Linked DNA regions of Canis lupus familiaris. The protein of the gene in region 1 binds, or shares a complex with, the protein of each later gene. Links are inferred from orthologs where the notes say so. Each region holds a gene or a part of one and is shown in the gene's direction. Other genes may lie near its edges.

Region 1 (4,213 bases):
GGGTGGGTGGGGGGCCCCGTGTGATGGGATCAAACAGCAGGGGCGCGTTAAAAACATTTGTCAGAAAGCCTTTCTAAACAGAGGCGGAAAAATTAGGCAAAAATTACAAATGGCAAATTACCTTGGCTCGCTTACAGCGTTTCATCAGAAGCCGGCCTCCCCCACTCTCGGCACCCGCGGAAGGGGAGAAAATAGGGCGCTTAGAAGTCTGAGCGATAAGGATCTTCTCACCGAGAGCCCAGGGACAAAACTCATTACAGATAAGCCCAGTCCTCCCGTTTCCACCGGACGCCTCTCCTCTCCCGGGTTGCTAACGAGGCAGCCGCTCCCCGGGCAGCCGCCAGGAAGCCGGGCCAGCCCCGCGGCGCTGCTTTCCCCCAGCCCGGGGCGAGGGGCGCACTTCCCGCGCTCTCCGCACCGCCCGGCCCGAGCGCGGGAACCTTCCCTGCTCCCGCCGAGCTGCGAGTTGGGAAAACTCCGCCGCCGAGGCGTCGGGGCGAGAGGGGGGAGAGGGTGTGCGACCGCAAGGGCTGCGTTTTGCAAGCCTGGGATCGATATCTTCCCCTCCCCCCACCCCCAGCCGCGGACTCGGCCAATGGAAGCCTGAAAGGAGGGAAAAAAAAAAAGAAAGAAAGAAAGAAAAAAAAAAATCCCGACGCAGCCCGAGTGCACAGGCCTCTCTCGGCTTTGTTTCCAGGCGGGGGGCTGTGCCGGGCTGGGGGCGCGAGCGGGGACTGGGCAGGGCGCGCCCCGCGGCGGCGCTGCTGGAGCCGAGCTGGGAAGCTCTCCGCCCTGCCCTAAGGAGGAAGGCAGCCGCCCGACCCCCGTCCTCTCCTCCGACCCCAATGCAGCCCCTCTCTCCAAAGGCCCGGGATCTGCGAGCAACGCGCACGGAGAGGCGCCCTCTCGCCAAGCCCGCGCAACGCTCGGCGTCTTTAAGAGCTCGCAGAACTGGAATCTGGCAAAGACTCGCCAGCTCAACCAGGCAGCCGCCCTCCTCCGTGTCTCGGAGACCCGGCCAGAGCCGTCCCCAGCTCCCCCCCGCCAAACTGGCTGAGCCGAGCCCGCAGCCCCGCACCCGGGTGGAGGGCGGGGGGGGGGGGCGCGAAAGCGCGCGCGCGCGCGCGGGGAGAACCCGGCGGCGGGACCCCCTCCAACGCGCGAGCCGAGAGCGGCTGCTTTAAGAGCGCGGTGAGCGCGCGCCCGCCGCCCGCGGCCCCGGCCCGCGCGCCCCCGCGCCCCCCGCCCCCGCGCCCGCCGCCGCGCGCTCCCCCCTCCCCGGCCCGCGCGCCCCCGCGCCCGCCGCCGCGCGCCCCCTGCTCGCTCGCTCGCCGGCTTTAAAGTCTCTGCCAGGATCCATGCTCACATGTTACTTCCTGTATGGAGGCATGGCCAGTTTCCAGCCCCGCGCTCCTCGTTCCTCCCCAGCCTGCGCTGGAGCCACAACTTTCAGGAGCATGGACTGAAGGCGCCCTCGCCCCTGCGCCCCTCTGAGATCCTTTGTGTTTTCCTCCGTTTCCTCCGGCCGTTTCTATTTCGGGGGGCTCCTCGCTCCCCCCGCCTCTCCCCTCCCCTTCCCCGCGCGCAAACATGCCTCCTTCCTTCCCCGGGCCCTGGAAGGAGCTGCCTGCCTGAAGCCGGGAGACGCCGCGCCGCGCCGCGCTCAGCCCCGCCGCCGCCCGCCGGCTCCCGGGCTGCGCCGCGCCGCCGACTCAAGTTGGGGATCTCCGGCTGCTCGCCGCTGCCGCCTGCGGTCCTGCGCGCCCCGGGCCCCGGGCATCGTCGCCGGCCGCCGACCGCTCGCCCTGCTCGCCCGGCTCGCTCTTGTTTCTGAACGGGAAGCAGCCCTTCTCCGCCGAGGATCGTCCCCAGCGTGGCTCCGCGTTCCCGGTCACTTTTTGAGATTTTTTTTTTTTTTTTCCCCGGGGGGCGCTCGGCGGCTTCCCGGATTCCGGGGGGGACTCGGGCCACCGAGCGCAGGGGGGCCCCGTGGAGCGGGCGAGCCGGGGAAGAGCCGGGGCTTCGCGGAGGCTCACTCGGAGGCGAGAACTTATTCAACAAGTTTACCCCCCCTCCCCCTGCCTTCCTCTTTTCGATGTGCGTTTTCGGACATGCGGAGGTTACTGGAACCGTGTTGGTGGATTTTGTTCCTGAAAATCACCAGTTCCGTGCTCCATTATGTCGTGTGCTTCCCCGGTGAGTGCCGGCCGCGGAGCGGACCCGGCCCTGGCCGGCGCGCGCGGGGGATGCGGAGTTGTCGCCGCGGCACCGGAGCTCGGGCGCCCGTCCCGGGGACCCCAGCGAGGGTGCAGGGGGGCCGGGCACGCAGAGAGGAGAGAGGCATCCGCTCCGCTGGTTCTGGCGGCGTTTAGGGAGGCTGGTGGTTGGTGAGGGTGGAAGCAGGAGCTGCCCGGGAAGGGGGACCGGGGCCGTAGGGGTCTGCTCTTGCTTGGGTTCGTGGCGGGGGTGGGGAGGGGGGGGGATGTCTTGGAGAGCCCGAGTGGGGAAGATAATAATAATAATAAAAAAGATCGCTTTGCTGATCCGCCAGCGTTCGGGAGAGCGAGAGCTCTGGGGGCGGTCGAGGAGCCTAGGGCCAGGGAGAGGATGCCTCTGTGGTTTGGGGGGGGGCCCAAGGTGCGCCCCTCGCCCCCGAGAGGATCGAAGGAGCTCCGGAGGAGGGGGACTTTGCTTTGCTGCCTCCTGACCCTTTTTGGAGAGGCTGGGGTTAGGAGGACGGAAGCTGGAGGCTGACGGTGGAGGATCGGGGATGTTGGCAGCAGCCTGCATTCTCGTGCCCGGGGCGAGGGGCGACCCCCGCTCGGGGCTGGGGCGCCGCGGGGCTGCGCTCTGGTGCTGGAGTGAGGCAGCCCTCCCGGGCGCGGGGGCCCGGGGCTGGGAGCGGGCGGTTTAGGGAGATCGTGGCTCTCCCCCGGCCCCGGCCCGCGGCGGCCCCTGCACCCTGCACCCTGCAACTCTGCTCGGCGGGGCTGCTCCAGTGGGGGCGCAGGGGGGCGGGGGTGGTCGGCGGCTGGGTGGCTGTTCGCGCCGGGGCGGATTTTCTTCCTGTCTCGCGCGCCCTGCCTACCTTCATCTTTGCCCTTTTGCAGGCTGTTCCCGGCTGGCCGAGCTAGACTAGACTCGCTTCTTTCTGGCCGGCTTAAGACGGGAACAGTATTGGCCACGGGTGACGGTGATAAATGAGCACACGCAGCGGTGTGCGGCTCGGCGACCCTCCACTTCCAGCCCTCCGCTGGCCGAGCCTCCCGCAGGGCAGAGGCCAGCCGCCTCCCTCGCCCCTCGTGCAGACACCCCCACCCCTGTTCTCCCCAGTGCAGCCCCCCACCCCCCACCGGCTACACCTACACCCCGGTGCTCCTCGGAGTCTGTCCGGCCCCCTCCCCGGGGGTGGAGGCCACGTCCTCTGCCCTAGTCGGGGAACGGGTGGGAAGGAGGGGGCGATTCGCTTTTTGATCTCGCTGTTCTGAGGATAGGGAACCCCTCCTTTTTTTCTGCCCTCTCATCCAGTAGCTCTTGGCTACCCAGAGGTAGGTAGGGGGTTATCTGAGCGAAGGAAGACAGGAACGTGCCCTGATGTTTCTGCCCTCCCTGCTCACGGCCGCCTGTCCCCGAGCGGCCTGAGCGCAGGGTTTTGGTGCAGCGGGTCCTCCAGCTCCATCGTGCGCCCTGCAACAGGGCGCGGGCGCTCTCGCTGCCCTCGGGGACCCGCTCGGGGAGCGGCAGCGAGTGTCCCTTGTGCAGGCACACGGGTGGCTTCGAGGAGCAGAGAGGCAAAGCCCCCCTTGCCCCTCTGCACATCCTCCATCCCCTCGGGACCCGCAGGGAGCTCCTGCCACTGCCAGAAACCCAGCTCGGATGGCTCGCGAGGACGTGCGTCCACACTAACCCTGAGGCCTGCGGTTGGCCTACCAGGGTCCTGCCTCCACGGGGCTGGGGATGGTGTGGACATTTCCCCTTAAAAAAAAAGAAAAAAAAAAAAGCCTTCTCTCCCTTAAAAGACTTGCTCAGTATTTGTGGTCCCCCCCGCCCCCATCTGCTCCTTCTAGACTTTCTGTGCCTTGGACTTGCCAGCCCGAGGGGGCTCAGGTGCACGGTGGGGTCGAGCTTTGTAAGGGTCGCGCTTTAAAGGGGGCAGTGGGCGGCAGCCTTGCGAAATAAGGAATTTTAATTCCACTTCTGGCCTTCTCCTTAG
Region 2 (3,645 bases), about 15 Mb from region 1:
AAGTTTATTTACTGCTCTCAAGAAATCAATAACTAAGGACTGCCTGGAGCCTCTTGACTTGCTATCCATTTTTTTTTTAGATGGTTGAGTTTGGAAATGAAGAGGCATGAGATTTTGTTATATTAAAAACTATGTGAGATGGCCATATCTTGATGTTTTGAGGTAGAAATACATGGAGCGATAGGCCTAGTTCTGCGCAACTCAGGTGAATCATACTGATTTTAACAACCTCGTTTGTTTTTCACATCAGTTTATCCAACCTCAGAAATGGGTTTCTGTGTTTCCAGTTCAATCTCTGACTTTCTTCTGAGTCACAAGAGTGCTTAGGAAGGAAAGATAGGAAAAAGCTGGAAGTTAGGGGATCATGCAGTCCTGACTCTGCTACTTGGTAGATCGCTATACAGTTGCGTTTTCCTCGGCTGTTAAATGGGCATGATAAGAATTGTTTATGACCCAAAGAGAAACGATTGTGAAACTTTTTTAAAAACAGGAAGTACTACATAAATATAATGAACGAAAGGAGGGACACCTGGGTGGCTCAGAGATTGAGCATCTGTCTCTGACTCAGGTCGTGATCCCAGGGTCCTGAGATCGAGTCCCACATCGGGCTCCCCACAGGAAGTCTGCTTCTCCCTCTATATCTCTGCCTCTCTCTCTCTCTCTGTCTCTCATGAATGAATAAATAAAATCTTTTTTAAAAAATTACTAGAATTTGCTGAGCCCTTGATATGTGCTATATGTTCTGCTAAGTCCTTTTTTTGGATTTTCTCAACAGTACTATGAATAGATATTGTTATTAACCTCAATGTTTGGTAGGGAAACCAAGGCATGGAAAGATTAAGTAACGTGCCCAAGGTCATTGGGCTACTAAGCATGGATTTGGGTTTAGAATACAGATGGTCTGACTCCAAAGCCCCACACTCTTTACCTTTGGAAGTTAGGACTGTGTTAGTTGTGGCCTAGGGAGGCTGGCAGCCACTGAACCCTAGTCACCTGTATGATGGCCTCAGCTTTGTCAAAGTTGATCTCCCTTTCAGAGTTCTGGGCTACGTAGGAAATATTTATTTTTACTTTATTTTTATTTGTTATTATTTTTTTTTAGTAAGCTCCAGCCCACTATGGGGCTACTTTATTTTTAATTGTTTTGTTTTGTTTTTTTTTTTAGTAAGCTCTAGCCCAATATGGGGCTTGAACTTACAACCCTGAGATCAACAGTTGCATGCTCTACTGACTGAGGTAGAGGTAGGCACCCATTGCATGGAGAATCTTTATGATAACTGGTTTAAAAAGTTGTTCAGAAAAAAATAAAAAAATAAAAATAAAAAATAAAAAGTTGTTCAGTGAGCATAGAGGCAATGTCCACAGCTTCTTCGCTTATGGCACCAAATAGTGGGCCATGTCCTCTTGGCAAGGAGCCCTTCTCCAAATACTGCTGGGTGGATACTGTCAAATTCTACTTCTCTGACTCCCTTTTTTGTGTTCTCCATGGCCTTTCCTTTTATGTTTTCAGATTCTTTCTTGAGATATGTTAGTAGAGTTCACTGTCAGTAGTAGTATAGCTTTGTAATATTGTTAACTTCATTATGATGAGTTATAGAACTTGGACCACACAGTTTGACGAAGATGCAGATCCAGTGCAATCTTGGGTTAGTAACTTAACCTTTATAAGGCCCATTTTCCTCATCAATAAAAACAAAGTAATTTTAATTTACTCATAGAATAGTTGTAAAAATTAATCAGTGTGGGGCAGCCTGGGTGGCTCAGCAATTTAGCGCAGGCTTCAGCCCTGGGCATGATCCTGGAGACCCAGAATTGAGTCCCACATCGGCCTCCCTGCATGGAGCCTGCTTCTCCCTCTGCCTGTGTCTCTTCCTCTCTCTCTCCCTGTGTCTCTCATGAATAAATAAAATCTTTTAAAAAAAAATCAGTGTGCCCAACACTGTGCAATAAATGCTGAAAAATGTATCAGGTGATAGCAGTAATGATTACAGTCAAGTGCTTTGAGGCCTTGAAGACCCTAATGTCATCGTCTCATACCTGATTAGAAACTTGTTAGTTTAGCAAAGGGAGTTCTGGGATTGCTTCCCTGTAACAGCTGTTGTGCAACTACTCTCAGGCCACCTACAGTGCCCTGCACACCGTAATGGTGATGGTGATGGATGGAAGTTCCTATCTGCTTAACATGGAATCCTGTAAAACATCCCCACCTTCTGATGTCTTTCAGTCCCAGAACTGATTGATGGGAAGACATTCACAGCGACCGTTGTGGGTTTGAACCCGTGGGTTGAGTATGAATTTCGCACAGTTGCTGCCAACGTGATTGGGATTGGGGAACCCAGCCGGCCCTCAGAGAAAAGGAGGACAGAAGAGGCTCGTGAGTAGCAGCCAGGACACAGAGAGTCTGTGCTGGTGGCTATTATTTCTCAGGAAAAGGCTTTGAATTCTTCCTACTTTAAGCCCTAATGAAGCTCTGCATCAGCACCCCCTGCCCCTTGAATAGTTATAATGATCAGAAATCAGGCCAGTAGATGCTCAGCTTAGTTCAGTTCTCACTCTTCCCTGGGTCACCTTGTACAAAGAGAGACACCGTGTGCTTCGTCTTTCAAACACCAGCACTTTCTTTGTTGGTTCATTTGTCACCAAGATTCTCCAACCAGGAATTATTTTTTTAATACGCACACCCACATTTCAAATGAAATCAACACACAGAAATCACTCGTCACAAATAATCAATTCTTCAGAAATGTTCAGTAAGATTTTCTTAGAGTATCAACCATGCCCAGAAGCTAAAATGCAGAACATCCTGCTAATTCATACAAGCCCAGTCAGCAATTTAGCAGGACCCTCTGTGTTCACAGCTTGCATGAGCACAGGGAGAGAAAACCTGCACCTATGTCAGTTGTACATTTCCTTCTCTTGTGCAATGGGAGGCCTACATTACGTGTGGGGCTCTGTAGAGTCCCCAGCTGTAATAGGGCCCGATGTTTGTTGAAGGTTCCTAAGCAGAAGGGAACTCTGACCCTACTCTTGGACAGAAACCCTCTAGATTGATTTCATTATCTCTAACCGAGGGAACACACCCAGTCACCAATTTTTAAATTCTGTCTGGAGTTTTCCATTTACATGATGATCACGTCGCTAATCCCCATTCTTTCTTTTCCCCCTCCAAAACTGTCATTTAATTGATTCCTCTCAGCAGTCCTGAGAAGGAAGCTAGCATAATCTCCCCTCTTTTACAGAGAAATCTGGGGATCAAAGAGGTTAAGCACAGTGAGCCAGGGGTCAACCTATGTCCACCACTTCCTTCAGCACCCAGCTCAAAACTCACCTTCCTCCGAGAAGCCATTAGCCCAACCCTACTCTGAGCAGCCTGCTACTTCAGAACGCCACCGCACTTCATTCTGTCTGCACCGTATTGTTGTTTATTGTCAACATTCCTCTGTAATTGTTCTGCATGTGCTCTCTGCCTTCAACAAGATTGTAAACTCTGCACGGGCAGAGTGTGTATTGTCCTGTCTTTTGTGTACCACCGCATGGTTAATAAACGCCTATCCAAGCATTAGAACCAGAACTTCAGTCCTTTCAAACCACTGAACTTCGGCCTCTAGGGATGGAGCTCAACAATTGGGCAGACTTGTCACATAC
Region 3 (3,645 bases), about 14 Mb from region 1:
AAGGAGAGAATCTTAAGAAGGCTCTTTGCCCAGCACAGAGCCCAACATGGTGCTCTGTCCCACAACCCTGAGATCATGACCTAAGCCAACCAAGAGTTGGTCACTTAACTGATTGAGCCATAAGGTGCCCCAGAATTTTCTAATTTTCAAAGAATGGTTTCTAAATTAGTCTCTTACCAGGTAAACTGAGTTAATAGGGCTTTATCTCAAATAATTTCCTACAAGTACCTTTATGTTCAATACTTTATTTTCTAAGTATAACAGATAAGAATAAACTGCCCCATCTCAAATCAATGAATTCAATAATTTTCAATTATTAAAAGATAATTGAATCATCGAACATATTTTTCAAGGTCCACCAGGTCCCCCTGAGGATGTAAGAGTGGAACACATTTCCAGTACTACTTCTCAACTAAGCTGGAGACCAGGCTCAGATAATAATAGTCCCATTCAAATATTTACTGTTCAAGCTCGGACACCATTTTCAGTGGGTTGGCAGGCTGTTTCAACTGGTAAGTGACACCAGTGTTTTCAGATGCTTTTTCTAAAACAGATTTTTGTTCGATTGATTGATTGTTGTTAAGTAGTGATAGTTTTGATGCCTGAAGTGCCACTCCCTTTTTAGTTCCAGAAATTCTCAATGGCAAGACGTACAATGCAACAGTGATTGGTTTGAGTCCTTGGGTGGAATATGAATTTCGCGTCGTTGCTGGAAATAGCATTGGGATTGGAGAACCAAGTAAAGCATCAGAATTGTTAAGAACCAAAGCATCAGGTAAGAAATTATTCTAAATTCATGGAAGACTTTTTACCATGTAGTTCTTAAAGAAAACAAGTAAGAAGTATTTTTATGGGTCTTGTTTGGGGCCCCAAATCAGAGGCAGGAAACCATCAGCTTTCATTTTAACATTTGTATGTACACAAAGCAAGGAGTATTTTCTCCTAAATATAAGTTCAATAAGAGATGATTATAACTAAGCAGACATGTCAAAAATAAGAGTTTTTCAGAATCTGTCCTCTCATCTCATCTATTTTCTAGCCAAACTCCAACAGAGAATCTGTAGATTTGTACATGCAAATGAGTTACTGCTTGTTTCATTAAATGTTGTAGCCAAGAATTAATTGAGACTCTGTAGGTGCAATCAGCCACACATTTCCATCTATTTCTCAACTCTGACCTAGTTGCAGCTTCATTGAGCAATAGTATAAATCCTTTCCCATGCAAATGAGGAAAATCCTAAGCTCATTTAACAGAAGCACTAATTGAGCATCAGTTGGTTCACTGAACAGCAAAATACAAGTGGAACCTGGCTCAGAAATCACCTCTTCTTAAGTTTTTTTCAATGGATCCTCTTTGTTCCACTCCTAAATTTTACATCCAGGGTAACATTTGATCTGCTTGCTGTGTGCAGCTGACAAAGTTCACATTCTTATTCAGTCATATAAATGAGGGATCACTCTGTTGTCACTGGCTTAGTTTAACAAGCACAAAGTACTTCAATTAAGTGTGTACAACTGTCAGATGTCAATAAGGCTTTTTTCATATTAAAGATAATATAAGTATTTTTATTGTAGGATTGGGACAGAAAAACATTTTTGACAGTAAGATCTTAAATTAGATCATAGAAGTTTAGAGTTGAGAGGAGAGTCCTTCATTTTACAGAAGAGGAAAAGGAAAACCAGGATCTTAGCTGACTATTTCAGAAAGAGTCAGAATTTGAACTCAGACCTTCAGGCTGTGCACCAGCATTTTTCCATAACTATGGGTCTTAACCTAGATGAGCAAGAAATTGGCATAAGGAAATGTGTAAATATAAAAGTCTCCAGTCCTTACCATAGATTGGCTGGATGAAAATCTCCAAGGGTGGCCTATGTCTCACTCTTACCATGAGTTTTATGTCATTTTGTACAGCTGATTCAGATCATGGTAGCTTTGGGCAGGGTTGACTCTAACTATAAAGTTTTACATAAAGCTTGTGCACTACCTTCTAATAAGCTCCGACAGTCTTGTTTCAATAGCATGGTATGACTTGGTGTTCATAATATAATTACCCTGAATTTCCAAATGATACTGAAGTGTGTCCTTTTTTTGTGTGTGTAGCTTCTTAAAGATGCTTCTCAATACGGTTTTAGGTTTAGTATGTTTCATTTGAAAAATAGAAATTAGAAAATAGGGTATAGGTACAAGGCAATCTTTTAAATATATTGTGAAGTTCAAAGTAGTGACAAAGGGCAACTTTGAATATGAAAATGGATAATGTCTGATAGGTGCTATTATTAAAAAGAAGAATTAGACTATTATATCACTGTGTTGTTTATAAAGTTAAACATCTGTAACAAATGGCAGTAAATAAAATAAGTAGTCTAGATTTGTCTGAATGGTCTTCACAGTGAAAGAAAATTTTGAAATGGGCAATGAAATAGTATGTATTTTAATTCCTGCCCTCCAGTCAGCAAAAATAACCAGGTACTTCCACCCCCCCACCTCTAGATCTTGATAAAAAATGGCCAAATATAGATAATTACATGTACTTCAACCTTTAAAAATATATCATGCAGATATATCCATTATCACAGTTTTAGGATGCATCTGCCATTATTTCATGAAAAGGATTACATTTTAGCACTTCCACGTATATGAAGTCAAACCCCATTCTGATTACATACTACAAGACCCACACATATAACTGTCATCAATTTTGTAATTTACCTCAAACTACTTATTATTCGTTATATGAGTCCTCACAAGGGTATACATGATGGGCATAATTGTTTTCTAATTCAAATGATCAGTGTCTAGAATGTTCTCCCACAGAGCCTTAGAGTCCTAGAATTAAACGGAGAAAATACTCTCTATCACATCCTTGACAGGAGGCCATCCTCTTAACTGGCAAGTGAAAAGTCAGAGGAAGAGTCCTTCCTGTTCTGTACTGGGAGATGTGAGATTCAAACACAGAGTTACAATAACAAGGATTTATGTACTTACGTATTTTTAAGAATGCATTTTTAAATGTTAAGCCATCTTGACTAAAAAAAAATCATTTTAGTTTGTTTATTACAAAAAAGAATTAATTAATATACTGCCTCAGTAACTTGTTTACAGCACAACTGTATAATTAGGCACTAAATCAGCGGTGTCACTGTTACCATCTGAATGGAACATCATTTTGCCAATTAGCAGATGATGCATAATAATGTCAAATACATGATGTTACTCGATTTTTAATTAATTTTGGAGCCAGGGTGCTCATGGATCAAACACAACTGTGTCCTCTCTCTTAGAAATTTGGATATGTGTAAACATAATTTATGTTCATTAAAAATGCAAGACTCTCACAATGTGCAGCATGAGATTTTGAAAGGTGAAATCTAAAAACAAAATTCTTCCTGATGAAGATGTACTTTAATAATCGCTGTCCCACGTTTCTCTTGGTTGCTTCCAGTCCCTGTTGTGGCACCAACAAACATCAATGGAGGTGGTGGAAGTCGGTCGGAACTCGTCATTACGTGGGAGGTAATTTTCTATCCAACTCAGTTATTTTGAAAGAAAAAGATTTAGCTGGCCAGGAAGAAACTGAAAAACAAAAAGATATATTTGATTACTACTGAGAATATATAAAAATACATGGTATGACAGACTCCTGA

Evidence for each region.
Region 2: the proteins of PTPRG (region 1) and CNTN4 are in contact, whole or in part, in a crystal structure (PDB 3KLD), measured with the Mus musculus proteins. The link is inferred for Canis lupus familiaris from reciprocal best matches to the Homo sapiens genes PTPRG and CNTN4. Residues at the interface, in NP_033007.2 of Mus musculus: Lys222, Val225, His226, His227, Lys229, Phe288, Thr290, Gln293, Asp294, His295, Val296, Lys297, Ser298, Val299, Glu300, Tyr301; in NP_001103219.1 of Mus musculus: Thr128, Arg129, Ser130, Val132, Ser133, Arg135, Gln138, Gly139, Met140, Val141, Leu142, Leu143, Cys144, Gly145, Val219, Met220, Gly221, Glu222, Tyr223, Glu224, Pro225, Lys226, Glu228, Leu250, Asn304.
Region 3: the proteins of PTPRG (region 1) and CNTN6 are in contact, whole or in part, in a crystal structure (PDB 5E5U), measured with the Mus musculus proteins. The link is inferred for Canis lupus familiaris from reciprocal best matches to the Homo sapiens genes PTPRG and CNTN6. Residues at the interface, in NP_033007.2 of Mus musculus: Val225, His226, His227, Lys229, Phe288, Thr290, Gln292, Gln293, Asp294, His295, Val296, Lys297, Ser298, Val299, Glu300, Tyr301; in NP_059079.2 of Mus musculus: Arg129, Val132, Arg135, Gln138, Gly139, Val140, Val141, Leu142, Leu143, Cys144, Gly145, Met222, Gly223, Tyr225, Glu226, Pro227, Lys228, Glu230, Leu252, Asn306.

What each region holds. Positions count from the first base shown.
Region 1 is NC_049241.1:29,656,444-29,660,656, reverse strand, and holds the start of PTPRG (receptor-type tyrosine-protein phosphatase gamma), read left to right. Parts: upstream 1-1,359; 5' UTR 1,360-2,111; coding exon 2,112-2,196; intron 2,197-4,213.
Region 2 is NC_049241.1:14,426,474-14,430,118, reverse strand, and holds part of CNTN4 (contactin-4), read left to right. Parts: intron 1-2,224; coding exon 2,225-2,374; intron 2,375-3,645. UniProt on the Homo sapiens protein: Contactins mediate cell surface interactions during nervous system development. Has some neurite outgrowth-promoting activity. May be involved in synaptogenesis.
Region 3 is NC_049241.1:15,980,663-15,984,307, reverse strand, and holds part of CNTN6 (contactin-6), read left to right. Parts: intron 1-353; coding exon 354-512; intron 513-625; coding exon 626-775; intron 776-3,443; coding exon 3,444-3,514; intron 3,515-3,645. UniProt on the Homo sapiens protein: Contactins mediate cell surface interactions during nervous system development. Participates in oligodendrocytes generation by acting as a ligand of NOTCH1.